Linked DNA regions of Oreochromis niloticus. The protein of the gene in region 1 interacts with the protein of each later gene in a pairwise test. Links are inferred from orthologs where the notes say so. Each region holds a gene or a part of one and is shown on either strand. Other genes may lie near its edges. The genes, in order: dazap2, epn1a, tollip and transducin-like enhancer protein 1.

Region 1 (8,015 bases):
ATACTATATTTTTATTGTTTTTACACAGTGAAACTAAATAGTCATACATCTGTTACTGTGTGTGGACTGAAAAACTCCACTATTAAGCTTTTTAAAAAAAAATCATGTTAGGGGTTTTACTTTTTACTGCTGAAATTGCTGAAAATGTTGTGCTAATAGCCTCAGGCTATGTGTTCAACAACTTGGATTAAACTTTGCTCATCTTTTTTACTTACACAGTGCACAATGGCATCGGTATATAACCTCACTAAATCACCTACAATGATTTTTTTTAATGTAATAACACTGACACTTGGCCCTCTGGTGCATTACTTTTCTACAAGAATAATATGGAAAATGAGAAAAATCCAAATGGCTTTCCCACCCACTCTAAGCTCTTTCTACCAACCTTTAAAATCAGACAGCAAAACTACTTTGTTTCTCTGATGGTTAAATATGAATATGAGGTGCAGTGTGTGTGCATCTCAAAAAGTCAGACCTGTGGACAGCCTTGCACGGTGATGGGCATGGCAGCCTGGTGCTGGGGCAGAGACACGCTGATGGGAACAGCAGGGGTCAGAGTTTGGACCATAGGAGCTGGAGGCTCCACAGACACCACCTGCTGCTCACCCAGCACTGCAGGAGCACAGCCAGAGTTGGTTATTAATGACATTTTAAGTTGTTTTTTGGGTTTTTTTTAAATCACACAGATGTTATCAAGAATTCACTACAAATCTGGATATATGAGAAGTGAGTTCTCTGCTATCCAGCATTATCAAGGATGACAATGATTTACCTACACCACCCCCTGTGCTCTGGGGCACTGTGGGGCTGTCCTGGGTGCTGCTGGCATCAGGTTGCTCTCCAGCTTCAGCCACTCCCTCATCAGTTTTGCATTCGCCCTTCCCATCAGCTGCTGAAGAGGCTGAAGACGCATCGACTTCTACTTCTAGCACTCGAATGGTTTCATGGCCAGACATCACAATGACCTGCACAGCGATCAGGATTTAAATCTAAGAGGACTCAAATGCAAAGAAGGCTTCTGCTTTTGTTTGAGTTTGTATTAAAAATGTAATAAACTAGTTATGTGCAATTATTTTATGAAACAACAGGAGATAATTCTCATCTGACCTAGCACCAGAGGGGTGTAAAACATTTTCTGTAATTTCAGTATTTCTCCACCTTGTCAATTCCCTCTGGAAGAACTTAGCTGATGACTCATGGTATGCAATAATGACAGACCTAGCGGAGGGGCAGCAAGACAACCTGGGCTGGAGGACAAGGTGCAGAGAGACAATGCAGGAAGAGAGAGGAGGATGCATACCTGGTTGTCTTTGGCAGGGAATTTCAAAGTGCAGGATTTAAATGGCTGAAAAAAGACTTCTGCAGTCAGACAGTGAATGGCTAAGGAGAACAGAGAAGCCGAGCACATGTTAGGACAAAATGAACCAAACAAAAAAAACAAACAAACAAAAAAAAAGAGACACAAATGAAAAGAGCATGAGTACACATAAACAATGATAAGAGCATCAGCCAACAAGCAGCTCAAGCAATGCTTTCTTCAAGGTCGCCTTTGTGCTTCCGTGAAGAGCATTGCTTTTGTTTGCTGACTATGTCTAGACACAATGTTACTAGAGAGAGAAAAACCACAATTAATTATTAAGCATGGCAATTCAAAGACCGTTTCCAACACAAGCATAGATATTATTAGTCTATAAAACACAAAAGTGCATCGGGATCTCAGTGGTCTGCTGTGTGACAGTTAATCATTCCATTATGAAGTGGCACGCTGGCGCATGGAGGGTGACAGGAGCAAACAGCAGCAAACAAGTCGAAGGCAAAGTTATGTTTAGTTAAGCTCACTGCAAGAGTAGCTTGGGGAGGGGGGGTCCACTGCTCCTAACAAACACATGAGTGTTACCTGCTCATTGACAGTAAGTGGGGCATCTTTGGCAGGCAGATCCTGGGAGTTCATGGCTTGCTGCACCACCACAATCACTGTCTTCCTGGCATTCTGGGTAAACAAAAATGAAAAAAAGTGATTTAAAAAATGTGGAAGCATTTTAGAAATTAAAATATGTATCAAGTTTTCCGTATAAGCCCACAGTCTCTGCACTTTAATGACAAACCCAGCTTAAACAGAACCAAATGCAGAGGACAGGTTTTTTTCCCTTTCTTTTCAATTCATTGCTATTATAGTCATTGCACGAGTAGACAATTTGGAAGGGGCCTGTAAACAGGCCATACTGTTTTGCACTTAAGCTGCAGAAAACGTGATCAAACACGCTGGTCGTGGACGTTAAGTGGTTACGCGTCCACCACGGATCGCAAAAACACTCGAGACGGCGCGTTTCCTGCTGCAATGCCCCGTTAGATATGGGGATCTGTCAAAAACTTCAGCGGGTGTTGATGGGCTCCCCACCCCCATCCTGGCCAATAAAAGTCTCGCCGCGTCGGCCACTTTTAAGGACAAGCAGCAAGCACGGAGCACAGGCGACGGAAATCATCTCGATCCGTGCCAAGAGACCGAATATTATGTATTTCCCTCTCTTTATCATAAATATATAAATTATGCTAATTACGAACATTGCATATTAACCAAAACTCATTTCCTCTCGCCATTTCGCTGCTATGCGCGAAGAGCAAGCCAGAATACGGTCCGGTTATTATATTCAACTTACCGCGTATATGCAGCTTATTTCCTGTAATCCCCGGCTCTTAAAAAGGTCCTTGTCACAGTTTGTTTCAGTCACACATAATTAAAAATTCATCTCAGCTCCCAGACAGGCGCTGTGACTGCACACAAAAGAGGTATTTGCATTGATAAGGAGGCTTGCAATGTTAGGATCTCCTGTCTCTTAATATTTAATGACGATGCCCTTTCTGCAACAGTTCAGATAATCAAAAATCCTTGAGGTGTCTCACAGAATCCTATTTGAGCTGTAAAGTCGGACAAAATTGCTACAAAATTGGCCTTTTGCACTACGTCATGAACATAATTTATGCAAGAAAAAATCTTGCATTGAAAAATGTCTGCCTCGACTTGAGAGGTGCCATGGTTCTCTTAAAGGGGAAGTAGCGCACACAAAGACGAGCACTGGAGACGCTGTCATGAAACACTGTGCCGATAGTTTCAATTTCCCAACACCGCTGTTTGTCTGTAATATCACGATATTCGCACAGTTTTTGCGTTTATTTGAACGAGAATTAAATGATTTAATGCAGCAGAAATAATTATGGAGACTTGTTTACTTTCTTCTTAAAATGACGTAGATATGTTTTTTTTGTGGTTGCTCTATATATTCTATTATATATATTTTTTTAAATGGGAAGATAATATATAACCTTTGATCATGATGTAGACAGTCGTGCTATTTTGAATAATCCTGTGTTAATTCTGAATTTGATACATAAGGAATGAATGTGTAGTTCCGAGATCATAGGTCATCATTTAGTTGATGAATAAATTAGTTGACTCACACAAAACTAACCATTTTAATACTGTGATTTTTTTGGGTAATCCATCAGGAAAAACAAATGCCAAAAATTAATATTTTTTTATCGTCTTGGTTTGCCATCCCAATGATTTTCGGGGGTTTTACTGACTGAGATTAATTGTATACATACACACGTACTCAGAAGGCTAATTGGGACAGAGTGGAGACACCTGGGGAAAACAAGCTACAGGTGCAGATAATCAAGATCACTAGACAGGGGAGGAAATAAAACTTAAAACAACACATAAAAGACAACTAAATATAAAAGTAAAACAGGATATAACTGATAAGAGTTAATTAGTAAGCAAGTTTTAGTAAACACTCTACACAAGAGAGCTATTCTTGTGTAGCCATAACATAACTGATTTATTAATTTTTGTTGATTTGTTGATGTCTTTATCAGGACCAAATTGTATATGAGGATGCTATATAGGACGTGCAAGAGCATATTAAGGACAAGCAAGAAAATAGTATTGATGGCGTTATAATATTGTATATTTCTGTTATATTTTACTGGCCCTAAGGTACATATGTCAAACCCAAGGTCCAGGGCCCTTTACAAATTGTGCCCAGCAATAAATGTAGGTTAACCTGCATATATATTTTCTTATTAGAAGGCAGTTTACGTGTGGTATGTGTGAACTGCCCAAAGATCTTTTGATTTTTGTTACTGTTGTGATTGATTAAACAATATAAAAACAAGGTAAATAGCATGAAATTCTGATGATTTTTTAAGCCTTCATGTGGACCGAATTGTGTGTGATATTACTGTATGGGACATGCACCAGCATTATCCAGGATAATTTTATGGTAGGATTGATTGTATGGCAAGAGTGACAGATGGGTTCAAGGTCGGGGTAGAATTACATCAATTACACATGAACCATCAGGGGAAATGGTTCATGTGTTTAAATACCTCGAGTCAACCATCCAAAACAATGCAGTGCACTGCAGAGGTGAAGAAAAGAGTACAGGTAGGGTGGAGTGGGTGGTTTGTAAGCTGCCAAGCAGGAGGAAAATAGGAAGACCACAGCGGAGAGTCATAGATGTAGTGAAGCAGGACATGCAGAGGTTTGCTGTAACAGAGGAGGATGGCAGGGACATGGTGAGATGGGGGCAGATAAGGTGGTGTCCAGCTCGTACATGGAGTAGCCCGAAGATGAAAAAGAAGAAGAAGCAACTAGGTATGCATGACCCTTGATGTGAGCCCAACTTTATCAGCGTGGGCGTTATTAAAAGTAAATTTGACGCCCTCTGTCTTAAAACCAAGACAATCCTTTTTTCCTTCCAGCTGGCAGCTAACCTCTGCTCCATTTCTACCAGTAGGGGGCGCGGGCGTGCACGTAAAACCGTGCGTGCAACCGCAGATAGATAGAGAACGGGTGACGTCACCACTTCCACAACAACAAGAAGCTGAAAAACAAGGAAGTGGATGATTGTGTGAAGCCGTGACCTGCACTAAGGCCGTGAGAAGATACGCAGAGCTCCGTTTAACCTGATATTCCTCAGTCTCTGGATCATAACACGACAATGAACAACAAAGGTATTTCTCCAGACCTCGTTTAGGTAATTAGTCAGCTGTTCGCTATACGACGCTGACGTGATTAACTAGAGACGAAGAGCTGCCGTTATGGCTTTCCGAAGCGGACTTCACGTTTAGCCACGTACATAACAATAACCCGACGCTTCCTGGGTAACAGTGTGGCTCCCACTCTGAACCAAGACGGCTTTATTGTTAGTAGTGAAGCTGTTTACAGTGAAATCCTACATTTACTGTCACTCTATATTCTTATACCATTAGTGGGCAGGTCACATGTTTTCCAGGCAGCTAATATCTCTGTAGACTGGCACATTTTAAAGGCACAGCTGACGTGACTCTTTCCTTCTCTTTTGTACGACCCATCATACAAATATAATCTGTGTGACTCATTTTAGTAATATTTGTTTTCTTTTGTTGTCAATTTACGTATTATATCCTCACATATTATTTGGCTATTTTATTTGAACACACTCATTTCTTTTGTCCCCAGTTTCGCTGTATCTGCTCATTTTAACTCTTTAGCTTTTTGATGATTATGATTGTAGTTGACTAAACATATGTATCGGCCATCTGTATCGAGGAAATAATATATAATTGTGTAATTTAAGAGGAGAACGATATCGGGGGATTGGAGGATTTCTTTTTTTCTCTGTCCCGAAAAGTTAAAAAAAATAACAACAACAACGATCAAAGCTAAATAAATAAATAAATTCCAGTCAGTCAGGTTTTTATTTTCCGTGTCTGCGTTTGTATTGGCCTAGAGTTTCACAACAGACGTACATTCAGTATTTTTAATTTGCCTATTATTTCCTTAGTTACACTTTCGGTTTAGAGCAGTAAATATGAAACAAACAAAAAAAACCAATCCAGTCGCCACATTTATTAAGTTAAAACGGGAGAATTTGTGCAGTTCTTACATTTAAATATTATTTTGCATATCAGAATTAATTAATTCTCTATTGTTTTACTAATTGGTCACTTGTAGTGCCCCCACCACACACACACACACACACACACACACACAAATATTCGACCAAGGTTAAATCAGAAGGACTGGGAAATATTTTCTTTTTTAATGGGTTTATTTTTTTTCCTTTTTTTTGTAATCGTAATAATAAAACAAATTTTACTTGCAAACCACATCTTTGTGTGTAGTCACCTGTTTTGAGTCAGGAAAGAAACGCTGAATCTTATTTTTTTTATATATTCATTTTTCTCCGGTGTACTGTCAGTTGTTATAATCTGCTCCCGAAGAAACAGTTTGTGGGGGTTTTGTTTTGTTTTTTGTGGTTTTCTGTGATTATGAATATGTAACTATTGGGAAAAAAATATTTGAGGAAATTTACATCTTACTAATAGGCTCTCAGAAGCCATCTTCAAGTTCACTGGACAATGGACATTGACCCCATAAGCAACATTGAGTGTGTTGCATTCCTCTATTGTCCACATTTAAACAAAATGACATTTTTATTACAGCACAAAATGTATTAATACCGCTAGGCATGACAGAGGAATGTTTGGTGCCTAAGAGTTTTGTTCTTTCTTAATTATTTCCTTTAATTTAAAATCTTTTATTGCAGGTTCATATCCACAGCAGGCTGTGTACCCTCAGCAGAGCACTGCACCTGTATACCCTCCTGCTATGCAAATGTCTCCTCAGGCACCACCTTACACAGATACACCACCTGCATATTCTGAGGTAACCAGTCCGTATTTAAGTCAAATGATGAGCAGAGTTAATACTCGCACTTACAGTTATAAACAAAAGAAAAATCTGTTTTCCGTTCTCTGTGTCTCCAGATCTACCAGCCCAGATATGTGCTTCCACCTCAGGTGCCTGGTCAGGTGCCTCAGATGTCCTCTCCCTATCCTGGTGCTCAGGTGTATATGCACATGCAGCCACATATGTCAGTTGGGCCAGTGGGCCAGAATGTCCCCATGGCTTATTATCCGATGGGAGCCGTCTACCCGCCTGGTTCAACTGTGATGGTGGAGAGCGGCTATGATGCTGGTGCTCGCTTCACAGCCGGCAGCAGTGTTTCCATCCCAGTGAGTGTCCATGCCATGCCAAGAAGGCATATCCACCTTAGATGAGATGCACAATTAAATGAGGAACTCTTTAACTGTGTTTGTGCTTGTTTCTTTCCTTTGCTAGCCCCCACCTCCTGGACACCCCCCTAATGCCGCTCAGCTGGCTGCCATGCAAGGTGCCAATGTTGTAATGACACAGCGCAAGAATAACTTCTTCCTGGGTGGATCCAGTGGAGGTTATACCATCTGGTAACAGCAGCTCCTTCTTCATGCCTAAACCATGTCCCCATCCCAGATGATGCCCCAGTTCTTCCCCCATCCCATATGCCTCCCTCTTCAGGCTGCTTGGCCATGCCACAATACTGATATCACCTAATGGAATGTAATATTTTAGAGCCCTTGTGAAAGGTACAGTACTCCACTTCTGACCTAGAGATGAAATGATAAACTCCATTGCCTGAAGAGGAAAAGTGAAAATTGTAATGTTACAGAATCCATTCCATAGTTCTTCATTGGGTCTAACCTCTTTGGTCATTCCAGATCTGACCTCTTTCAGGCATCTTTATTTGTCAACAAGATCTTCTCTTCTTTGATTGAATGGTCACAAATTACACTGAGATGTTCTTGTACTCCTGTAAAAATACTTTAATGAAATTATTGAAATATCAGATCCGCATAAATATAGTTTAGCTGCTTTATGGTGAAAGTGAAACGCAGTTACAAAGTTGCAGTAAAAAAGAAAAAAAACCTCCACTTGTCTTTTTTTGAAACTTTTAGTGTAGTTCAATTAATAGGTGTCTAGTAGTTCCATGTAAATACCAGTATGATTATGAGAAATTACATCTCAACTATTAAAAAAAAAAAAAGAAAGAAAAAAAAGTCAGCATCCTGGATGCTTTTAGCTAGAAATGTCTTGTCTTTTGCACAGTATCCAAAATACCACGGAAAATTTGTTGCACAGTGAACTT
Region 2 (7,741 bases), on another chromosome or scaffold:
CATCACACAGTTCTTGTTGATGATAATGTAAAAAATATTACTAGGCGTTCCACTTATGAGACAAATGGAGCAATATTTGATGGGTTTATCTCAGTAACACGACCTTCTCACAACAAGAAGGTCCTGTGTTTGAGCCTCGAGCCTCCAGCTAACAGAGACAGGTTGTTTTATCTGGAGTTTGCATGTTCTCCCTCTGTACGTTTCTCCCACAGTCCAAAGACATGTTAGCAAGCATGCCAAGTTAACTGATGATTCTAAATTGGCCATAGATGTCAATGTGAGTGTGAATGGTTGTGTCTCTCTTTCTCTGTCTCTAACCTCGCTCTAGTTCACAATAAAATGAAAGTGCCTAAAAAATGGATTGCTTCAGTTAGTCTTGAGTTGATGCAGAATCTTTCAGTCAGTTTGTCTTGGGGCAAAGTAATAGTTAGGTACTGAGCAGCCGATAAGCAAAGTATTACAGGTTCAGTTTTCAAAGAAACTGATTTTCCATCAACTCACTCATTGGCAAAACAGGAATGAATAAATAAATACATAAATAAATGGAAGCAACTGCATTTACTGAATAGCCGGGAGCTCAAAAGAGGCCAACAAAACAAACTTATACAGACTAATACAAAAGGCAATTTCAGCATGATGATAAATTATTAATTCAAGTGATTGTGACAAAAGGACTTGATACGTACACAATGTTCCAGGGTTTAGCCTACAAACAAATACCTACTCAGAAAAAAATGTGTCTTTAGTAATACATAAATAACTAGACATAAAATGAACAGAAACTGATCTGAGAGTTCATTTGTCAGACAAGAATCCACAGTGATGAATGTTATTTACATCCAGAAAGTGACAGCACAGGCTTTCAAAAGAGCATCTCGTGAGAGCTTCGGTGTTAGTTTGTTTGATTCCTCCTCTTCAAAAGCCCCTCCTCAGGCTGAGTCCAGTTCTTTCTTTCAAAACAAAGTAACGATTCTCTCCTGACACGGCTTGGGGGAGTGGGCACAGAGGAAATACTAAATAAAGTTTCAGCGTGACATAATAGTGGAACGACACCTGTCAGAATAATTTATACTTGTTATAATCACCGGCATTTTGCTTGTCCTTATAAGATTAGTGTTTCCAAAGCAGAGTAACATTACAAGTTTGCTTGAGTCACGCTGCAATGTTTTCTTCAATCCCCTCCTCCCCAGAGAGAAGGGAAAGATAAAGGGATAAAGAGATGAAGGATTAAAGGGGAACTTGTAACACACATGCATGCCAGCTGTTGTTCTGATCCAGGAGGCTTGCGGGGTATTTTTCATGGTCCCAGGGAAGGCAAAGCTGGTCTGGTGTCACACCAGATAGTTCAAGGATGCCTCTCTGTGGACGGTGAGGGTCATTGCATTTTTGGGGAGAAATTGTTGCTGCGTGTTAAATCTTAAGATTTACCACAGATTTACCACCAAACCTATGGTGTGACTTTCAGTTTTCATTCATTAAGAAGTGAAATACTTCCTGCTCAAATATGTCTCAATGTTTTCCGTATCATCAGCGTGCGTATGGGTCTTCACACTCTGACAAGAAGGCTTGTATTCAGTTAAACAACATCAAAACAGAGTCTTAGTAATTTTACTTAAATGATGCAATGTAAAATAAATAAATAAATAATTTGTTCCTTTCCTGATTTTTTTTCTGCATATTTTTTTAATACACCATAAAATCGAATTAGTTTCCAGAACTTAAAAAAATTATGCAAAAAAAAAAAAAAAGTAGTAAAGCATACTTAAGATAACTAAGTTAGGCCAACTTATTCATTGTGGGTACACAGTACTAAAAATAACTTGATTTTTCTGAGTAAGCAATACTAAATGTTTATATTTTTAACAAAACTTACTGGTAACTTAAACTGAGTTCTAACAAGCTCTGAGTTCAGCCTACTTAGTATTTTTAATTAAGCAGAATATTAGACTTTACAGTGTACTTACATGTTTCAAATTGTCAAACAAATTTTAATATTAGATAACGATACCCTGAACAAATAGAAAATGCATTTTTTAAATGATGGTTTCATTTATTAAGAGAAAAAAAGGCTATGCAAATCTATCTGCCCCATGTGAAAAAAATAATTGCCCCCTAAAGCTAAGGGTTGGGCCAGCATTGGCAAGAACTGCAATCAGTCATAACTGGTAATAAGTCTTTCACATCCCTGTAATTTATCTTTTCAGAATTGTTTTAATTCACACACAGTGGAGCGGTTTCAAGCATGAACAAGCTTTTTATGGTCAGGTCAAAGCATCTCGATGTGATTTAAATCTGGATTCTGTCTAGGCCCCTCTAAAACCTTCATTTTCTTGTTTCAGAGTTAGGTTTGCTGGTGTGTTTTGGATCCTTGTCCTGCTGCATAACCCAATTTCACTTTAAGTTTCAGGGTATAAATTGATGGCCGGATGTTCTCTTTCAGGATTTTCTGGTAGAGAGTAGAATTCATGGTTCCATCCATCAATTATGGCACGTAGTCCAGGTCCTGAAGCAGCAAAGCAGCCCCAAACCATCACATTAAAACTAACATGTTTGAATGCTGGTATGATGTTCTTTTATGAAATGCTGTGTTAGTTTTACTTCTTTTATGACATCTTGAATGAGTCGTTAATGTGCTCTTGGAGTAATTTTAGCGTATTTCACTTTGTCAGACAGGAACTATTTAAGTGATTTCTCGGATCAACAGGTTGGCAATAATCAGTCCCGGAGACAGCTAAAGAAACTGAACTGTGCTTTCTAAAAAAATGTGCTTCACATTAATTAATAAGGGGGCAGTTCCTTTACTCAGGAGGCGCCAGCTAGGTTTGGATTCCACTAATAAATGAAATCATCATTTAAAAACTGCATTTTGTGTTTCCTTGGGTATTCTTCGTCTAATATTAAACTTTCTATCACAATCAGGGCTGAACTGGGACAAAAAATCGGCCCGGGCATTTTGACTAGAGACTGGCCCACCAGGTATTATAGGAAAAGCCATAAAGCCTTTGAATGAAAACAAACGCTGTTGTGACAGTGATGTGCACTGTCTTGTTGGTATATGTATGATTTCTGTACATTTTACATCAGATAAAAACTTTGGTGGTAAGATTCAGATAATTATTTATTAAAAGCGAGACATTTTAAATGAGAATAAGAAACAAAAGTATTTCTTTGTGCCCCCCTTTCCCTGTTAATGCCCTACCTGGCCCCCTGGCAAAACCTGCTAGACCCGCCCCTGCACAGTTACCAGCTGTCAGCTACTTAGAAAAGGATCCTGGTGTTATTTGTTCATAACTTCCCTTCAACTCATTCATGTCACCTAAAAGGTAAACCTGTTTCTCCATCACCTGTTCAGCTCTGATGATTCAGTAAGGACATTACCTGGTTTCAGCTTCATGTTTCCCTCTCACCAGAATATCCAAACCGATATCATAACCAGCAGCTTTTACGGCTGTGGCTCCCGCAAACCTCAGCTGATACTAGAAATTAATATTAAATAAATTCTAACAACAGCTGATCAAGCTTAAACCTGCTGCTGTTGTTTAGCGCAACATCCGCCGGTTTCCTCTTTCTGGCGCAAAGTGGGACATAAACAAACAGACGGGACTTGGTCAGAAAAGCCGATCAGCTGATCATTGATCAGTTTCATGATTGAAGTAGCAACAGGAGAGGGAGGGGAGAGAATGAGAGAAGAAGAAACAGCTGACAGCATAAAGACACAGAATAACTGCAGCTTTGTGTCTTTTTTTCATTCTAGCTGAAGTCCGGGACAAACTGTTCCTTTTCAGCTTATTACGACACGTGTAATATTTTCTCTGAATACCAGACGATTCTGTTTTTTACAGGACGGTTGGCAACTCTACTAACTAACCGTATGAATAAAATAAAGTTCACTATCAGTAACATCATAGCACCCACCCAGCTGTATAGAAACTCTGTAAAAAGTCAGCACAATGAAAATAAACTATACCTAAACTTGGTTTATATCTGACCCAGATAGACTGCAGATCATTATTACCTGAAGTTCAGTTCACCTGACACTCGGACCGGCGGCCACCTCGGGTCTCTCCTCCTCCTGCCTCCCCTTTCCCTCATTTACCTGCTGGCTTCTATGGAAGCTCCGCCATAGCCACCACCAAACAACTAAGTTATTTTTACATTTTACACATTGGTCACACCACCTTTCATTGTTTATACCGTTACAAAAAAACAAAAGACAAAAAAAAGAAAAAAAAAACAAACATAAAAAACCATTGGCCCATAAAAACGAAAAATCACCATCAGCCCACTGGGCAAATGCCCGGTATGCCCGATGGCCAGTCCAGCTATGATCACAGTTTAAAAATATAAAATCAGGGGCAAGTTCTCCATTTTATTGCCATTAGTGAAACCAGTTCCTCATTTAGGATTTTTAGAAATGAACCCAGAAAGACACCTTCTATATTTTCAAACCGTTTTCTTGTCTATTAGCCACCCAAAGTCTTTTTTTTTAAATCTCTGAGAAGTCTGGAGAACGTGGAACAAACGTGCGAAAACAAAAATAATGACAAAAAGAGGATGTGAGTTCTTCCCTTTGACACAAAATGAATATTAAAAAGGAAATTTATCTCAGAACTTTTAAAAACATACCCCCTGTCTATCAGTGAATGAATTTAAACGGTAATAAACAATCATTTCGATATCTCTTTATTTGAGACTTTCTTTTCGTCTCAATTAATAATTCATGAGTCTCCTACTACCATCACAGGAAAACAAAGCTACAGGGGGTGCGGTCTTTCCTGTAGGCGAGAACGGAAGCGGAAATTCGGCCATCTCCTCGTACATTCAAGCTACAGCAGGGTCAGTAGACATTTATTTTAGATATTTATTGTGCCGGGTTGTCAGCCTTTTTTGACTCTTGAATGCGTGTATTCAGTAGTGTCCCAAAGCAGGACGTGAAGCTGGAGCTCGTACGGTCTGTCAGTCATGTAGCGAACTAGCAACAGCTAACAGGCTAGCTGGCTAATGTGTCCGAGCAGCAACAGCAGCAAAGTGATTTCTTTTATCAGTCAAAGTGGCAGGTAACCTTCACCTTTTTATCGAGTTTGGGATAATTCCGCGCTAGGACAGGAACGACTCATTCTGTTTAGTTCCCCCGCTTTTTTTTTTATACCTAACTAAATCCCTCCGTGCACCTGTTTGTACTACACCCAGACTTTGTGATAGCAAAGTGATCGCAAACAGTTTCGATTAGCTTAGCTGAGAATAAGAGAGTTTGGTGCTCACCTTTAGTTGATAAATTAAGCCTTTGGTACATAAAAATGTTCGTTTTAAGACCTGTGTGTTGCATTTTACAGCGGACATTAGCGTTTGCTAGCAGCTAGAAATACGTTAGATGACAGTTTGGTTGCTAACATATCAGTTAGTTAGCCTGCTATCTTAATAGGTGTGACAGGGAGCTCAGCATCTGTCTGGCAGGGTCGTTAACGTTATCTGGGTGGGGGTCACATCTTCGGGAGGCTGTGCAGTGTTAGCTGGATATGAGTGATAGGAAGAATAAATCAGTTAACACTTATGCCTGCTTTTCGCCTTTTGTAGTTGGCTTCAACCATACAATCCATCTTTCATATAGAGCAGCTTCCTGTGACGTGACTTATGAGTAAATAAGCGCTACAGCGTTTATAGCTTGTTCTGTATGTGATCTAAGTGAGACATCTGTGTATTTTTAGTGCTTAAGGCTGATAAACTGTGTACTGTAGTGCTTCTGAGATACTTACTGAAACTTTGTGGGGGATTTTTTCCCCTCAGTGTGGCTTCAGACTGACGATATCTGACAAGAGGAGATATATAAAAGGTATGTTATGTCACTTATCATGGTTATCACGGATTAGCTGGCGTGTCTGAACTTTGGCACTGGGCTTCAGGAGTCTCTGAACTGACTTTTGCAATGGTTGCTTTCTGTTCAGTTATGCAACATGCTCTCATGTTTATCTGACCTACAAATCTGAACCCCTTATTAGCTGTCAGGCTGATTTAAAACACTTAATGATGTTTGGAACGGTTATGTTTTTCGTATAGTATCCGAACTAAAGGCTTTCATTTTGTGCCATTTAAAATGTGTAATCCAGTGGTTTTCACACAGCTGACATGGTGTGAACAACTGTTTTAGCTGTGTTGCCAGATGAAAGCATTTTTGAAAGTGACACTAGAGCCAAACCATCCTAAATCATCCAATTTTTAAGAACATTTTCTGCTCAACCTTGTCTGATGTGCCTCTCTTTTTCGTACATTTTCACTGCATTTTTAATATTATTAGTATATTTTAAACTTAAACCGAGTCATCTAGTGCAGTAGGTCTTGAAAATTAAGAACGTGCATGTATTTAACACAATTTTCTCAGTTGAAACTGGAAATTGGATTAATAATTAACTAAGAATTTCATGTCAAAACAATATTCTGCACGTTTCATTTTGTGGTATTTTAAAATAAAATTATATATCACTCAGAAATTATTAAGTCGTCTTTTGAAATGTAATTTTCTTTCTTTTTCACAAACATGGGAATTTACAAGATAGCTTTCATTTTTCTCCATATTTTAGTTACTCTGTATCTGTCCGAAATTACAGATCCTGATTCATCATTTCGTATAGTAAATTTCTGTTATTTATCTTAAATATTTACTGAAGTGTGCGGACTCAAACATGGCCTCAAATTTCAAAGTGTAAGCTAGAGAAGTATTTCATATATTAATGTAAATTCAAACTTTGGACCATATAATTTTTAGGGATATCTGAGATGTTCGAGCAGAAGGCCCACTTTGTTTTGTGATGGAATGACCCAGCAGTTTTCAAACTTTAAACCACTGTTTATATCTGCAGAAACTAGCCTTTATCTCAGCTAAAATGGCGTGAATGACTATTTTAGCTGTTGTGTCAGATGAAAGCACTTTTAAGTGTGACACCTACAATTTTTTTTTGGTCTCCAGTAAACTCCGCAAACATGCAACTTGCCTGGATCCCCTTATCAGACACTTGTACAAAGTCCTACAAACTGACTATGATTCACATTTAGTTCTTTACGATAGACTAAGTTTCTCTCAGGTTTCCAGGTTTGTCTTGCTTGTGTGGCACAGCGTTCACATTTGTTAAAACCTTACAGAAAATAAAAGCCTATTAACATCCCAGTCCAGCTGAAGCCATAAAAAAAGCGTATTTTTGTGGCTTATTTCCTCCTGACAGTTCTCGATCTTAAAGTGGTTGTGTGTGGTTTTCTTTACACAAGAAAGTGATCAGTTTTACTACTGCACAAATTGGATCCTTCTCACTGTCAATCAGGTCATTTCATGTCAACTAATGTAGTACATCTGAATTTCATTGGTTACTTATTATGCAGTTACAGTAATATGTATATGTGTGTGTGTGTGTGTATATATATATATATATATATATCTATCTATCTATCTATCTATCTATCTATATATATATATATATATATATATATATATATATATATATATATATACATATATATATCTATCTCAATCAATCGTTTTTTTTAATCCAGCCACACTTTTTGGGAACCACTGGTTTAATCGTTGCCAACAGGTTAATTTATTACTGCAAGTTACAACTTATTTTAATAAGTAACAAGCAGTCAGGGCTGAAATCTTATTTTTCTTTTGTTCTTTAACTAATAAATCTCCAGTTTGTAACCAGCATGCTGTTTGTAGAAGTCAGTTTGTTTACTTTATTGGTTCAGTATGAAG
Region 3 (7,260 bases), on another chromosome or scaffold:
GCCATATACTCATAATGTCGCAGCGGAGTGTTGAATGCTGTCTTCCACTCATCCCCCTGACGCATGTGTACCAAGTGATACGCATTATGAAGGTCCAACTTAGTGAAAACAACCGCTTCCTGTAATGGAAGAAAGCAGTGGAAGGGGATATTTATTCCTCACAGTGATGGTATTAAGTCCACGATAGTCAACACAAGGTCTGAGAGATCCGTCCTTTTTCCCCACAAAAAAACTCCCCGCAGCCACGGGTGAAGAGGATGGCCGAATCAAGCCTGCCTCCAGGGACTCCGTAATATAGGCTTCCATGGCAGCCCTCTCTGGCCCAGAGAGGTTGTACAGCCGACTAGTAGGCAGCGGAGCTCCAGGCAACAATTCAATAGAACAGTCATACGGCCAGTGAGGAGGCAAAGATGTTTGCTGAAAACTGACCTCAGATCATGATAGACCTCTGGCACAGACTACAGGTTCAAATCCTCTTGTGTCGATTCGGGAGCACTGGCCGCAGAAGGAGGTAAAGCAGACCTCAGACAGTGTGACAAACAGTGGCTACTCCAACTCTCTATAAGACGGGTGGCCCAGTTGATATGGCGATTGTGGCACTTGAACCGAGGATAACCAAAGACTACGGGGGAATCAGGGGACGCGAAAACAAAAAAATGGAGAAATTCGCGATGATTGCCCAAGAGAATTAATGAGACAGGTTCCGTTTCATGGGTGACCGAGGGCAAGGGCTGACCATTGAGGGCAACAACCGAAACAGGGACCTCTAGAAGCCGTGTTTTAATACTGAGGAGACGTACCAGACCTCTGTCAATCAAATTCTGTTCAGCCCGGGAGTCTAAAAGAGCTTGAGTAAAGTAGGTCTTAGAGTTATTAGACAGCGGAGAGCTGCATGCGGGGAACCTGAGACCGAGAAAAGGTGCCACCCACCAGTACCCCCGCAGTTACTGGTGGGCCCCGCCTTTTAACCAAAGCTGGCAGGTAGATACAAAGTGGTCTGACTGACCACAATCCAAACATAGCCGCACCTTAAAACGTCTCTGACGCTCCTCAGGGGTAAGTCTCGTGCGACCCAGCTGCATCGGTTCCTCAGTATTATTCCCAGGAGGTGACCACGCTTGGACGTGAGCGGGAAGGAGTGAAGGTTGAGTGACCGTGCGCATCGAGGCACCTTCCCCCGAGGTTGCGCGACCCTTGCCTCCCAGTTCTTTCTCCCTCTCTCTCTCATGCAGATGGTTATTGATGTGAATGGCTAGCTTCACCAATTCCTCAAAACTCTCCGGTTGGTCTTGGGTAGCGAGCTCGTCCTTCAAACGTTCGCTTAACCCGCAGACGAACGCCCCGCACAGCTTGGCATCCCCCCACCCGGTCTCAGCCGCCTTAACGCGGAAGTTGATGGAACACTCCACTATGGAGGAGTCGGAGCGCCGACAGCTGTCGTGCGGTTTCGTCCGCGCGCAAAGGGTGGTGAAACACGGACTTAAAATCTTGGACAAATTGAACATATGTGAGGGACTCAAGATGGAGGATGGAGAGCCAGATATGATTCGGCCCAACTTAAAGCTTGATCATGAAGGGCGCCGATCAAATATGAAATTTTAGAAGCGTCGTCAGCAAATGCGTGGGGAGAACGCTGAAAAAGCAAAGACACTTGAATCAAAAATGGACTCTATGGCAGAACACACAGAAACGCAGGGAATGCAGAAAGTGCTCTTTATTTACGTCTGGATTATTTACACAGGGTGGGAGATTGTGTACAGTGATAAATAAACGGAGGGAAACCAGGGAAGGGGGCTGACGCACACTCGGAGGGAAAGGGGTAATCGGTGCACGCAGGGTGGATCTACGAGAAAAAGGGGAAGATACCAAACAATCAGTAAAAAGCGGCAATAAACATGGGGAGAGTTCGAGAGCACACTTGTCACACTGGCAGTACAGGCTCGGGCGAGAATCTCCGGGATGTGAAGGTAAAGATGAGATTGATCTCTGTAGTGATCCCGGAAATACAGCTTCACCAGCAGCTGACAGGCAAGCGGGTGATGGATCCGGCTAAGGATACAGGACAACAGGTAAGCAGACAAAATCCAAAACATGGGTTGGCCGTTAGTGCACACCTCGGAGATTAACAAACACGTTACCACTCAGGGAGGCGACAATACTCTGACACCAGACGTCTGTCGCGCTGCTCCTAAATAACGCTCCATCAAATGACGTCTGATGTACCGCCAGTGTGCCAGTATCCCGTGACACACCGCCCCGCCTACCTGTGCTGAAAAAGGAAGCAAACTCATGACACCACACCAGAGAAACCCCACCAACTCCTAATAGGCAGCACCTAACCAACTACAAGCCTGGCAAAACCATGATGACTGAGGGCAACGTGGCACTTGCGGAGGAGCTGGACCACTTCTTTGCACACTTTGAGGTGAAGGGATCAGAGGCAGCCGTAGCTCAAACATCGAATGGCAGCAGCAGCCCAAGCTTCATGGTGCAGGAATATGAGGTGAGGTGTACACTGAGGGCTGTGAAAGCCAGGATGGCCACCAGTCCAGATGGGGTGACCAGGAAGGTCCTAAAAGAATGTGCAGACCAGCTGGCTGGGGTCTTCACTAAGATCTTCAACGCTTCACTGTAGCAGTCCTGCATCCCGCCATGCCTAAAGTCGGCCACACTTATCCTACTATTTAAACAGACCAACATTAGCAGCCTCAATAACTACCGACCAATTGCTCTAACACCTGTTATAATGAAGTGTTTTGAGAGACTGGTCCGACGCCATATCGTGTCTTGCCTGTCACCCACACGCGACCCACTCCAGTTCGCATACAGAAGTGAAGATGCCATTGTTACAATGCTCCACACCACAATCTTCCACCTGGAACAACAGGGGCATTAAGCCAGGTCGCTCTTTGCTGACTTTAGCTCTGCATTTAATACGATACTCCCTGACAGACTAATAGTAAAACCGCTGAATATCGGACTTCCTTTTATTACCTGCTGCTGGATCAAAGACTTTCTCTCGGACCGTGTAGAGAGATATAGTAGGGCCTCATCTTTCCTCAGCCCTCACCCTTAACACCGGCTCTCCACAAGGCTGTGTACTAAGTCCCCTACTGTACACTGTGTACACACATCACTACTTAGTACCCACCCACACAATGCAGTCATTAAGTTCGCGGATGATACCACCGTGGTCGGCTCATCTCTGGGGGCGACGAGACAACATACAGAGCTGAGGTTCAGAGGCTGCTGGATTGGTGTGCAGAGCAGACAACAACTTGGACCTCAACACCACCAAGACAAAAGAGCTGGTAGTTGACTTCAGAAGGAGGAAGTCTGTGCTACAGCCTATAAGCATCAACGGGGAGTGCATGGAAAGGGTTTGAAGCTCCTGGGTGTGAACATAGACACAGACCTCCAATGGAGCTCAAACACCTCAGTGGTTGTAAAGACGGCCCAAAAGCATCTCCATTTTCTGGAATGTGCTGACATACTGCATCTGTGTATGGTTCTCCAGCTGCACACCGTGGCACATGGGTCATTAATATGGCCCCAAAAAATCATTGGACATCCTCTTTCCTCCCTGAAGGACCTATATAGCACTCGTTGTCTCAAGACAGCACGCAGCATCCTACAGGATTGCACCTGGGTGTTTAGGTTTATGCTGCCGTCTGGAAGGAGATTCAGAGTGCTGAGGTTGCAGACAAACAGACTCAAGAACAGCTTTTACAACAGAACAAAAGCTCTAATCAATGCTAACAGCTGACCTGATTGGCTACCTGTCTGGACTTTTTTAGGGGGGCAATAACAACAACAACAACAACAACAATAATAACAAAGTGCAATAAACATTCACTCTTTCTTTTATTCATTTATCAAGTCATTCCTTTACCTTTCTTTTTTGCTCATACATTTCTTCCACTTAAAAAAATACCCTTTAAGTTACTGTGTTGTGTTGTGCTTTGTGGTGTTTAGTTGTCTGTATTGCTGACGTAGGACAGTTTCCAATTTTATTGTACTATTGTACTGGGTATGACTGTGTAATGACAATAAAGAGTTATCTCTTATCTTATCTTGAAGGGTAAAGTGTAGTCATGGTCAGCAAGACTAGAACATCGCAATATAATGCAGTGCATTCCATTCATTTGTGGATCGGGTGTAGCTCTTCACCTGAGCTAGTAACTGAAAAATCTTGAACGTGGTTTGGCTAGAGTGGATTCTATTGCCCACTCCAACGCAGTAGGTGGCGGTAAAGCACTGTAATACTGGTTGTCACATGACATAAATAAAAAATCAAGCAGGAAGAGGAGGTCTGTCGAACGGTAAACATCCGTCATAGTGGACAGTGGTTTTGTTTTTCAACGGCATACGCTTGTGATTTAAGAAAACAGAGAAAATCTCGATAAAGAGGAGACGACATGGCAACTACCATCAGCACCCAGAGGGGACAGGTAGTGGCCTCGGCGTTTGTCTAGTTTGTTGGCACTGGCACGCACACACCTAAACGTAACTGTGGATTGTAGTTCTGGCAGTTCATTAAATGACCAAAAAAAGAGTTGCACAGAGACCCACAGCACTGATACTAGCTTAGCATTCAATACCCGGACAACGTCGGCGAAGGTAATTAACTGATAAGCGTTAGCTTAGGTAGCTAATAGCAACTCAAGGATTAAGCTGCCAGGATAGCAACACTGACGTGTTCCGTGTTACACAACAAACGATAAAAAAAACAGTTGCACTCCCGTGCTTCAAATCTGGGAAGCTTAATTTTCAGTTTCTATGTTGCTCCTTAGAGGACTCCGGATGTTTTGTTATTACAAAGAGTCAGAAAACATTAAGCCTTTGATCTGTGGTGAGCTGACATTTTCTAATGATTACTCATAAACCGACTAATTACAAGTTAATGAAGTTCTGAGACTTGACAAGCAAAACGGTGTTCACGTCCAACATTTTCCACGTGCTAGAATTACGTTAAAATGTTAGAAGAAAGGCTAGATAAACATATTAAAGGCTTGGGTTTACATCTTTTAAACTCACAAAATCCTAAAAACTAACAGAAAAAGTTTTCTCGTGGCTTCTTTAGTTCAATATACCCTTGAACATAGAAATGTGTGGAAGACATCCTGCTCTTAGCGACAATAAGTTGGCATCATTTTCTGTGTTTATTCAGGTAGATGAAGACAAATTGATTTAGCCCACTATGTCTTGCAGTTTTTTAATGCTACATTCCTTGCTCCTTCTCTCTTGTACACTTTCACTTGTGGAAGACAGAAAGTGAGAGATATAGTCGGCTATAATGACTGTGGGAGAAGACTTATTTTTGAACACTGAAAGAAATATGCTAGCAGCATTTCCACCCACTGAGTGAATTCATACTGGATTGGTCAGAACAGTAAAAATATCTGTCATTATATGGATATAAATTGTTGGACAGTTTTCTCTCTGTAAACCACCACATTGGATTTTAAATCGGACAATATGTGATCAAAATGCTTTCCTTTAGTTTTCATTTTAGAGTTTTTACAAAATATTTTGGAATTAATTGTTTAGACAGGTTAAATGGGGCCTGTTGCATTGCTATTACATGACAAATGAAGCAGACATAATATCTTAAGTTGATTCAGAGTGAAGAATTTTGTATTCTGTAACTTTTCACTGTAATTTTGAATATGAAACCCAAGAGATGTCAGTGTACGCAGGGAAGGCTATTATGATGCAGAAAAAACAAACTAAAGCATGTGGTAATGTTTGTGACATAACCACATGCTGCAGAAAATTTGATTTCAGACAGTCATTGATTAAAAGGATTTTCAAGTATTAAAAACCTACACAGACATTTTAATCATATATTGGTCCATTTAAAATCCACTATAGTGGTCTACATGACTACTGGGTCTCTCTACAACAAGTGTAGCTAACTAAAATTCAACAGCGCCACCAAGATGTTTTCCAAATGAGCTATACATATAAATCAACACCTCTCAAACAATTTCAACAAAAATTGAAAAAAAAAACCAAACCCCAAAACAAACCAAAGAAAAAATCCTTTGAATTTATTACAGAACTGTTTCATCATGACTCACTTAATTGACTGTATGTTCTACCTGCAGGTTAGAATTCAAATTCGGATGCTGATATGTAAAACACGATTAAGTCCATCAACCCTCATTTGAATATAGGTGTCTATAAATGTACGTTAACCAAAGTCCTGCTTGTAGAAGGAACTCTTGCCACTCTTGCAGCAACCTAGAAATACCTCTGGGGACTTTTTTGGGTAGTACTTTTGAAGCATTATCTAAATGAACTTACATTTATGTCGTCACTAGTACATCACCAGTCAAATAAGATAAAAACTGCTTACAATATTTATTGACTTTGTCCCAAAATAAGGTATAGTATATATTTTTTACATTCTAACCAATTTAAAATTCTTCTTCTGAAATACAAAGACCTAAATGAATATGCACCATAAAGACCTCGTAATACTATATTATCTCAATAGAGCACTTTCCTCTCAGAGTGCATTCATATTTGTGGTTCCTAGAGATTTCAAAAGTAGAACTGGGGCAGAGCTTCTAGCTTACTGGCCCCTCTCCTAGGGAACCAGCTCTGAGTTTGTATTCAGGGTTGGATCACCCTGCTAGAGGACTTCATTTGTTTTCCATTTGTTCTCCTCTTTACCTTCATCTTAGTTTCAATAAGCACTTCATTTATCCCATATTTAAATTATATGGCAATACTACATGCTGCATGTCAGTAACTTTTGGTTTCTCTCTTCCATCTCAAAAAATACGTACAATGTTAAATAATTTTGTATGAATAATACAATCTTAATACAACACCAAGCAATCTTCTCTTCCTCCAACCCCTTTTATGCTGGTGAAAAATAAATAACTAAGTGGCAGTTTTTCTGGGTAAAATTTAAACCAGTTTTTTGCTGTCAGGAGCCAACTTCTTGAAATTTAGCAAACATGATCATCAGTTGAAATTAATATCTCGACGTAATCTCATGGAGTATGTCATGTTTAACTGTCTCTCTGAGTGACTACGCAGAGTAACTCTTAATCCCTGTGTCTTTGTATTCAGGTGTATATTGGGGAGCTTCCACAGGATTTTCTGCGAATCACTCCCACCCAGCAGCAGCAGCAGGTCCAGCTGGATGCCCAGGCAGCCAGGCAGCTGCAGTATGGAGGCTCCATAAGCACTGTAGGAAGACTTAGCATTACAGTGGTCCAGGTGAACACAGCTTCACTATTAGAA
Region 4 (7,895 bases), on another chromosome or scaffold:
TGTTACCTGTGGTTCCTGGAGCTTTCTAAAGTAAATTGGGAGACAGAGCTTGCAGCTGCCAGGCCCCTCTCCTGTGGAACCAGCTTTGAGGAAGAAGACATCCTCTCTGCTTTTGGGGTTAAGGTTAAACCATTTTTGGTAAAGCTTATAGTTAGAGCTAGATCAGCTCACTTATCTCTTATGCCTCTTTTTCAATAGTACATACTTGGATCAGCTCGACTCTACCCGTAACGGGTTTTATTACTTATGAGTTCCCAAGCAAGGTGAGTTGAACCAAAAATGTGACGTTAACAGACAGTCATGAGAGCAACTCCTTCACAATAAAAAAACCTGCGATTTTTGAAACTGAGGGAAATGGCAACACACAAACCAAGTGTTTTGGAGTGTTTTGTCTCGCCAACTTCAGCCTTCTTGGGCGCTCTTGTTTTACCCTGAGTCTGACAAAAAGCCATAGACCGAGCAGCAGGTATACCATTGCCTCGTTGTAGTGTGTTTGTGTTGTATACAAATGATGTGAAGGGACTTTCTGACAGTCTTTCTATAATGACTCCACCCACATTGAGGTGATACTCAGTTGTAATGGAAAATGATGGAAACCGGGTAGAGTAGATTTGAGTCGAATCGAGCCAAATAGTGTGCTGGGGGACTTCCCCTGCTGCACTGAGCGTTTCCTCTCCACACTACTCTTTTCATTTTCTGTGTTTTACTTCTAACATAATTTGTGATGTGTCCTTGTCTCCCTGTGCTTTCCATTTTTCTTGTATTTCCCTCCATCCCGTAATCAATCACAGCACATAGCTGCCCCTCTCTGGATAATTCTGGATGCATCTTCCTGTTAAAAGGGAGTTCTTCCTTCCCACTTTCGCCAAGTGCACGATATGGAGGTTTTATTTTGTTAGGCTACATTAAAGCACCTTGAGGAAACTGTTCTTGCGAGTTGGTGCCATATAATTTAAATTAAACTGAACTGTATTTAAAAACCGCCAGTCTTTCTTTTAAGAAAAAATTCAGCATTTGTGACTCAAAAACATCACTTTATTTTTACAAGTCTAAAATTTTAATTGTATACGTACAACAGCAAAAAAGGACTATTCTATTCCATCTATTCTAAAACACATTTTAATTCACATTTAAATGTCATATTGACATAAAATGCAGGGCGTTCTATTATACAGGACATGTGGTTTTCTGTGTTTTTACCTTTTTTCCCAGTAACCTGTGGTTAACATTAGGTAGAAACAATTTGTCTCATTCATCACTTTCATAACTCCTCAACACTTTGTGGTGTCTTGTGTCTATAACCTCAAATGCAAATCTCTCATAAAGTAATAATAAAATGCTAATCATCCTGTTTATTTGAGGATACTCTACATGTATTGCCTCATATTGAAAATATAGTGTTAAATAAAACACTGTAGTGCAGAAAAGACTTCAAACAGAAAACATGGATCTGCTACTTTTTCTTAATATAATGAATAGTTTAACTATGGATGTTGTGTTGTGTATTAAAAAGATTTAGTTTTGACTGATGTGTGACCTTTAACTATTATTTGATGGGCTGTAAGGATCTTTGCATTGAGGTGAGTTAAGGTAAGGAAAAAAGGAGCATGTTGCCTTGTGCTTCTTCTTGTTTTGCTGTTTGTAGAACTAATGGAGCACTAAAAATGTTAATGATTACAAGCCCAATTTTGAAAAGGTTAGGATGCTCTGTAAAGAGTAAATCAAAATAGATTGCAATGATTTGCACTGAACCATATTTATTCACAAAAGAACATAAAAAACATCAAATATTTAGATTTTTACTATTTCATGAGAAATAATAGCTAAATTTTAATTTGATGGCCGCAACATGCCTCACCTCACAATAAGTTGGGATGGATGTAAAAGTTGGACGCCTGTGATCTTTGGGCCCTTGGGAACCACTGTGTTAAAAACAGGGATGATTCTGTCATGCAAATCACTGAAGAGTGATTAAATGAGGAAGACTATGAGGAAGAGCGGAAAACTGTTTTGTGATCAGATGAATCGAAATTTGAAATTCTTTTTGGAAAACATGGACACTGCATCCTCTGGGCTTAAGAGGACAGGGACCATCTGGTTTGTTCTCAGCACTCAGTTCAAAAGTCTCTGACGCTATGGTGGTATAATAGGGAATGGAACTTGCAGCTTCCACATCTGGAAAGGCATCAATGCTGAAAGGTACATAGAAGTTTTAGAGCAACGTGTCCTATAAGATGACATTTTTTTCTTGGAAGGCCTTGCATATGTCAGCAAGACAATACTAAACCGCATCTTCCATTTATTTTACAACAGCATGACTTTGTAGTAGAAGAGTCCAGATGCTGAACTGGTTTGTTTGCGGTCCACTCCTTCCAACAACTAAAAAAAAATGGCAGATCATGAAATGGAAAATATGATAAGGAAGACCCAGGACAGCTGAGCAGCTAGAATGCCGTATCAGACAAGAATGGGGCGACATTGCTCTAAAGGGGGCCAACCGCTGGTCTCCACAGTTCCCAGACATTTACAGAGTGGTAAAGAAGAGGGGATACTACACAGGTGTAAATGTGGCAGTATTCCAACTTTTGAGACATGTTGCTGCCACCAAATTCAAAATGTGCAAATATTTTTCTTAAAAGATTTGATGTGTTCTCTCTGGTCTATTGTAAATAAAGTATGAATTTATGAGATTTTTTTTTTTTATTGTTCAGCACATCACAACTTTGCAGAACTGGGATTGTACCTCTTTTTTGTAGGAACTTATTACACAGTATGGAGAAGTTATTGATCTAAATTTTAGATTACGCTTCAGGTATACTCAATGAGGCCAACACTGCACTTGATCATGAACAACTGAATCTGCACTAATGGCAAAAAAAAAGAAAAGATTACATTAAACCTTGAAGCATTTGGGAAGAACAGAAGAGAAGATGGGGGAACTGGGGCCATAAAAGTGTAGCAATGTGCATAATTCAGTGCACCGTAGAGAGGTTTAAGAAGGGAAAACAATAAAAAACAAAACATTATGCAGCAAACAGATAAGTAGCCAAGATTCTAAAAACATGCTGTAAATTTTAGAAATGACACAGACTCAGGGTGATTTTCTTTAGTGGAAATTTACCATATATTCATAGGCAGTAACTGTGATTAACTGTAGCTCCAGAAGCCAGTCGCATACAGCCAAAATGAATAAATTAATATAAACAGTCTAAATGAAAAGGTCCAACCATTAGGTTGATGCAGCACAAAATTTGCCTGTGAATGCCAAACAGTGTGGCTAACTCACATTTCAAGGCAGTCCTGGTTGTTCATTTTAGAGGGGCCCGGGGTGGGGTGAGGGTGTGGGTCACAGGCAGCAAAGGTTAACACGAATGTGAACCAACACTTATAAAAGACAAAATGCATTTAAGCACCCGCACAAATGTGTAGCTGCACATGCAAACCTTTGTAACCGTACCACCCACTCCACAGCACCTGCGTGTCTGTGCATGTGTGAGACCTGCAAAAAACAGGTCACTGTTGGTCACAGTCAGGAGCCTCTCATACGGACTGGATCAGCCGCCGTAGAGGTCAGAGGTCACGTGGGTCAGAGGGTTGAGGTCTCTAAGCCAATCACGGGCCAGTGTGTGGCTGAGGGGCCATCCAGTGTGAAGTGAGCAGTACTTCGATGGGATAAGAGGAGTAGAGAAGATCCCACGAGCCTCCTTTATGACTCAGCTTCAAACACACCTCGCCAGTCACAACGTGGTGACTTCAGCCATGCAGTATTTCATCAGGTAGCTGGCACAAAAACACCCCAAAATGAGTGCAATTTACCAATAGCCTTTATTGGCAATGGAGCTATAACCTGTGCTTGTTTGCTAGGAGAGCAATAAATGGTGACATCTTTATTTTAAAAACATTGCTGAAACTTTTATGTGCAAGAGATATGGTCTTCATTTTTGATGAAGGTGGCAAGTTATATTTCTTCACACATTTTCAATAAAAGCCCCTTTCTCATTTATGTTTTTGTATTCATGTCTTTAGCAGCAACTCTAACTACTCTTGTTACCTGCTTGTTACCTGTTAGCGTGTCTTTATTTACAGCTGCTTCAATCTGGCTTTGACTGCTGGTATAATAAAATACCATTCTGTGAGCTTTATTACAACGAATCAGGAATTCCCCTGGCATTTTTCTGCTTTCTTTGGGTCAAAATCACATTTGCACAATGCCGAGCTACGTTTTTGAAGAGATATAAAGACATCACAGTACAAGTAAGGGTTTTGGATTTGTCCTTGGCCAGCGAAGGAAACATGATGAGGCAAACTGAGCTATCTCTGTAGACTGACTGTATGAAAATAGCAATAAACTGCAACAGATGAGCAGCATAATTAGATTTTTTTAGGAGAAGCAGAACATAAAGAGCGTTCAAGTCCTACTAAATCAATTCCCACGCTGAAAATTATTACATAGAGGGGGAGAGAAAGCAGAGGAAGAGAGAGATTTGGGGTTATTTGTCATGACACTTGCTGGGAAGGTTCACGGCGGCTAAGAAAAACAATATTTCTGTTTTTCTGTTTGTGTGTTTGCCTGTTAATGTGTGCGTGTGTGTATGTGTGTGGACGCGCACATTTACAGCTCTGCTCCTGGTGAACCCACGTTACTTTGATTGACAGCTGAGACTTGCCTTTTTCCCCACCGCACTGCCCGCCCTGCGCGCTTCCGAAGTGGCAGCTCCTTGCGACGCGCTGATTGGTCAAAATCTGCGTAGCTCAACGAGGTCAACAGAATCAGGGAACTTTGCAGAGAGGCTATTGGTCAGTTTCATAACCCACATCATTTTCCCCACGTGGAGCGGAGACTGTGATTGGTGCGGAGGCGTTTTGTGGGCTGGCCTATAGTTTCGGTTAGCTGGGTGAGCGTGAAACCGCGTGAGAAAGTTGCCATTGAGGTAAAGCAGAGCAGGACCGTGAACAGTTCCCGCCGCTGTGGGAGTTGTTGTTATCAAAATTAACGACATATTTCCTCGTTTTTTTATTTTTTGTCTTAAAAACGAGAAATCTATTTTGGAGGCAAGGCTTGCTTCCACACCGATCGAGGAAGTAAATATTTCTGTATTTGTTGACCGTTCAACCGCCAGCCAGTGACCGCGGCGAGTCAAGTGGGAACTCTTCTCTGCAATTAACTTGTGTGGATTTGTTTCTGATGCTCTGAATGAGCGCCGGCAGTTTGCGGCTGTCTGTTGAGGATCTACGGGGTTGATTTTATCTTGTTTGTTTGTTTGGTCGGCTCTCCGTACTCGGAATACATCAGTTCGCACACAAAACAAACGTCGGAGTGGCGAAGGTGGCTCCAGCCCTATTTTTTTTTCTCACCTGGCTCTCCTGTCCTTCTCTTCCCTCCCCCTTCAGCTGCTTTCAACTAATGAGCCGTTTCCCGTGTTTTTCCGGTTGATTTACGGTCGCGCTGCCTGTGGAGCGGAGGACAGACGACGACCGAGAGACGGGAAGAAGCGGAAATTCACGTTAAACGGTCGGTGAACCCAGACGAAGCGGACAAGCGGTCGGTGCCTTTTTTTTTTCTTTTTTAATTAACGATCGTTGGTCCTAATAACAACGGCGGATGGATTCCTCTCCGTGATTGGGAGCTTCCCACAACCTTACTTTTCACCCCCATTTGATCCCACTTTGACGGGGTTTTAAGAAGGAAACGGTTTCATCCTCCCGGAGATAACAATGTTTCCCCAGGGGCGACACCCGGTAAGACGCTCTTTGTGCATTAACAGACGCTCACTTCACCGGGCTCAACCGGGTAACATTACCTCGTTATATGACCCGCCCCTCCGGGCTGCCTATGTGTTTATATTAAGCTCAGTCTTCTAACTAATTGGGCTCTACAGTGGGATTGATTATATTGCGTTTTGGCTTTTTGTGTGTGTTTTTTAAATAACGACTAATATTTAGAAGTTGTTGATATTGTATTTGTGCTTAAAAGTATCAGATTCATAATGTAGACAACAAAATGTGCCAGTGTGATGTTAGTAATCTGTGTGTGTGTGTGTGTGTGTGTGTGTGTACGCGCGCGCACGCGCCAGACGCCCCACCAGGCTCCAGGCCAGCCCTTCAAGTTCACCATCCCAGAGTCACTGGACCGCATCAAGGAGGAGTTTCAGTTTCTTCAGGCACAGTACCACAGGTGGATAACACAAACACTCAATTCACGTTTTCCTCTATTGTCATCTGCCCTCCCAACACTAAACTTCACCCTAACCACAGTCATCCTCATAACCATAATGAACAAAACCTCAACCCTGGCTTCAGACTAACCCATAAACCTGGATTAGGTTCACGTACACATACAAAAGTGCACACATATGCAAGCAGGCATCAGTGTTAGCGCTTGCACTGCGGTAGGTCTACATCTTCTTGATGGGTGAGAGCCAGAGGGGTGGCGTGTGGGCTTAGGGTTTCATAAATCACGCCTTATTTTCCCCTGTGTGTGTAGCTGTGTAGGGAAAAGGCTTGCTCAAGTACTGCATGTGAGCAGAGTGTTTCTTTTTTTCTTTTTGTTTTTTTTTAACTTTGCTCTAGATGTTGTCAGGGTGGGTCATTCACAACAGGTGAAAGCTAGACCTGGATGTTTCTGATTTACATATTCAAAGAAGAGGATTGTCATAAACATATACCCATTATTTGACGGGAACAGTCATCGCGTTTTCCATTTTTGCACCAATTCTTTTGAAACATCTCCATGGACTGTTTTAGAGGGTGTTTAAATCATCAAGCAAGAGGGGCGAGAGAAAGAATGAAAACTGATTAGTTTAACTTGAAATGTTGAGTTCCACTCAAAGTAAATGGTGTATTGTTTTTCTTGTTGTTTTTTTTAAGTCTCAAACTGGAGTGTGAGAAGCTGGCCAGTGAAAAAACAGAGATGCAGAGGCACTACGTCATGGTGAGCTCCCTATACTCAATTCATTTGCCCTGCAGGGTCACACATCACATGCAGGAGTTCTAAAGTTTCCTAGAGGAGAAAGTTGTCCATATCTTATAAAGCAGAATACAAATTCCTATCTGAAGACTCGCAATACAAAATATATGTATTGTTAATACTAAATGAAGGGAAGAGGAAGAGCAACGTGCAAGTGTCACCTGCTTTTACTGTGCAAAGATGCTGTGCTGTTACGACTTTTCATGTTGATTTAAAATGTGTTTCACTGTTTCAGAAAATAAAATATACACGAGAGCTTACGTTTCACTTTTAATCACTGAAGTTTTACCTCTTTTACACAAAGCAATGTGGCTGTGTGTCAAAAGCTTTTCATCTAGCGCAGAAACAAACATAACATGGACAGGAATGCTGTTCAGTTCAGATTGTTTGTGAGGATGTTGCATTGCCTCATGTTCAAGTTAAAAAGCATTTGACTTGCATGTTTTGACTTTCAAAGTAGTTTGACCTCTTTGTGGAACACTTCATTTAAAAGGATCTGCAAATATCTTGAAAGACATCTACAGTGTAGCTAATTATTGTTTAAGTTATTCAAGCTTTTTCTTTCAGGGGTTTAGGATTTGTTTCACCCTTCTAACCTTCTCACTCTTTGCCCCCCCCAGTACTATGAGATGTCGTATGGCCTCAACATTGAAATGCACAAACAGGTATGGCTGCTCGTCCACTCTGTCGGTCCTCTTGTTTATCTCTCTTCCTCTCATGGATGGATTTTGATGTATGTGGAGTGTGGGCCTGTTGACGTGTCCTTGTGTGTGCACAAGTGCATTTGTGTGTGTGTGTGTGTGTGTGTGTCTCTCTCTCTCTTTTACTGTATACGTGTATATGTGTGTTTATTTGTGATCGATGGGGCTCTGTCTCCATTTCCCCAGTTAGGGCCGGCCGGCTGAGCCCAGAGGCAGGATGAATGGCT

What was found.
Region 2: the proteins of dazap2 (region 1) and epn1a interact in binary tests that used the Homo sapiens proteins (3 or more experiments, as listed by UniProt). The two-hybrid records come from large-scale screens. The link is inferred for Oreochromis niloticus from reciprocal best matches to the Homo sapiens genes DAZAP2 and EPN1.
Region 3: the proteins of dazap2 (region 1) and tollip interact in binary tests that used the Homo sapiens proteins (3 or more experiments, as listed by UniProt). The two-hybrid records come from large-scale screens. The link is inferred for Oreochromis niloticus from reciprocal best matches to the Homo sapiens genes DAZAP2 and TOLLIP.
Region 4: the proteins of dazap2 (region 1) and transducin-like enhancer protein 1 interact in binary tests that used the Homo sapiens proteins (3 or more experiments, as listed by UniProt). The link is inferred for Oreochromis niloticus from reciprocal best matches to the Homo sapiens genes DAZAP2 and TLE1.

The regions. Positions count from the first base shown.
Region 1 is NC_031984.2:9,350,652-9,358,666, forward strand, and holds the start of dazap2 (DAZ-associated protein 2), read left to right. Parts: upstream 1-4,848; 5' UTR 4,849-5,006; coding exon 5,007-5,019; intron 5,020-6,596; coding exon 6,597-6,715; intron 6,716-6,816; coding exon 6,817-7,065; intron 7,066-7,171; coding exon 7,172-7,300; 3' UTR 7,301-8,015. Other genes in the region: pou6f1 (POU domain, class 6, transcription factor 1), read right to left, coding at 479-615, 776-968, 1,901-2,041. UniProt on the Homo sapiens protein: In unstressed cells, promotes SIAH1-mediated polyubiquitination and degradation of the serine/threonine-protein kinase HIPK2, probably by acting as a loading factor that potentiates complex formation between HIPK2 and ubiquitin ligase SIAH1.
Region 2 is NC_031976.2:22,692,503-22,700,243, reverse strand, and holds the start of epn1a (epsin-1), read left to right. Parts: upstream 1-4,728; 5' UTR 4,729-4,836; intron 4,837-4,847; exon of another isoform or gene 4,848-5,057; intron 5,058-5,262; coding exon of another isoform or gene 5,263-5,340; exon of another isoform or gene 5,341-5,778; intron 5,779-5,784; 5' UTR 5,785-5,830; intron 5,831-7,741. Other genes in the region: putative serine/threonine-protein kinase SBK3, read right to left, coding at 5,263-5,340. UniProt on the Homo sapiens protein: Binds to membranes enriched in phosphatidylinositol 4,5-bisphosphate (PtdIns(4,5)P2). Modifies membrane curvature and facilitates the formation of clathrin-coated invaginations. Regulates receptor-mediated endocytosis.
Region 3 is NC_031965.2:3,875,394-3,882,653, reverse strand, and holds the start of tollip (toll-interacting protein), read left to right. Parts: upstream 1-4,240; 5' UTR 4,241-4,418; coding exon 4,419-4,451; intron 4,452-7,086; coding exon 7,087-7,236; intron 7,237-7,260. UniProt on the Homo sapiens protein: Component of the signaling pathway of IL-1 and Toll-like receptors. Inhibits cell activation by microbial products. Recruits IRAK1 to the IL-1 receptor complex. Inhibits IRAK1 phosphorylation and kinase activity.
Region 4 is NC_031977.2:21,198,056-21,205,950, reverse strand, and holds the start of transducin-like enhancer protein 1, read left to right. Parts: upstream 1-4,871; 5' UTR 4,872-5,715; coding exon 5,716-5,739; intron 5,740-6,074; coding exon 6,075-6,175; intron 6,176-6,867; coding exon 6,868-6,931; intron 6,932-7,587; coding exon 7,588-7,632; intron 7,633-7,895. UniProt on the Homo sapiens protein: Transcriptional corepressor that binds to a number of transcription factors. Inhibits NF-kappa-B-regulated gene expression. Inhibits the transcriptional activation mediated by FOXA2, and by CTNNB1 and TCF family members in Wnt signaling.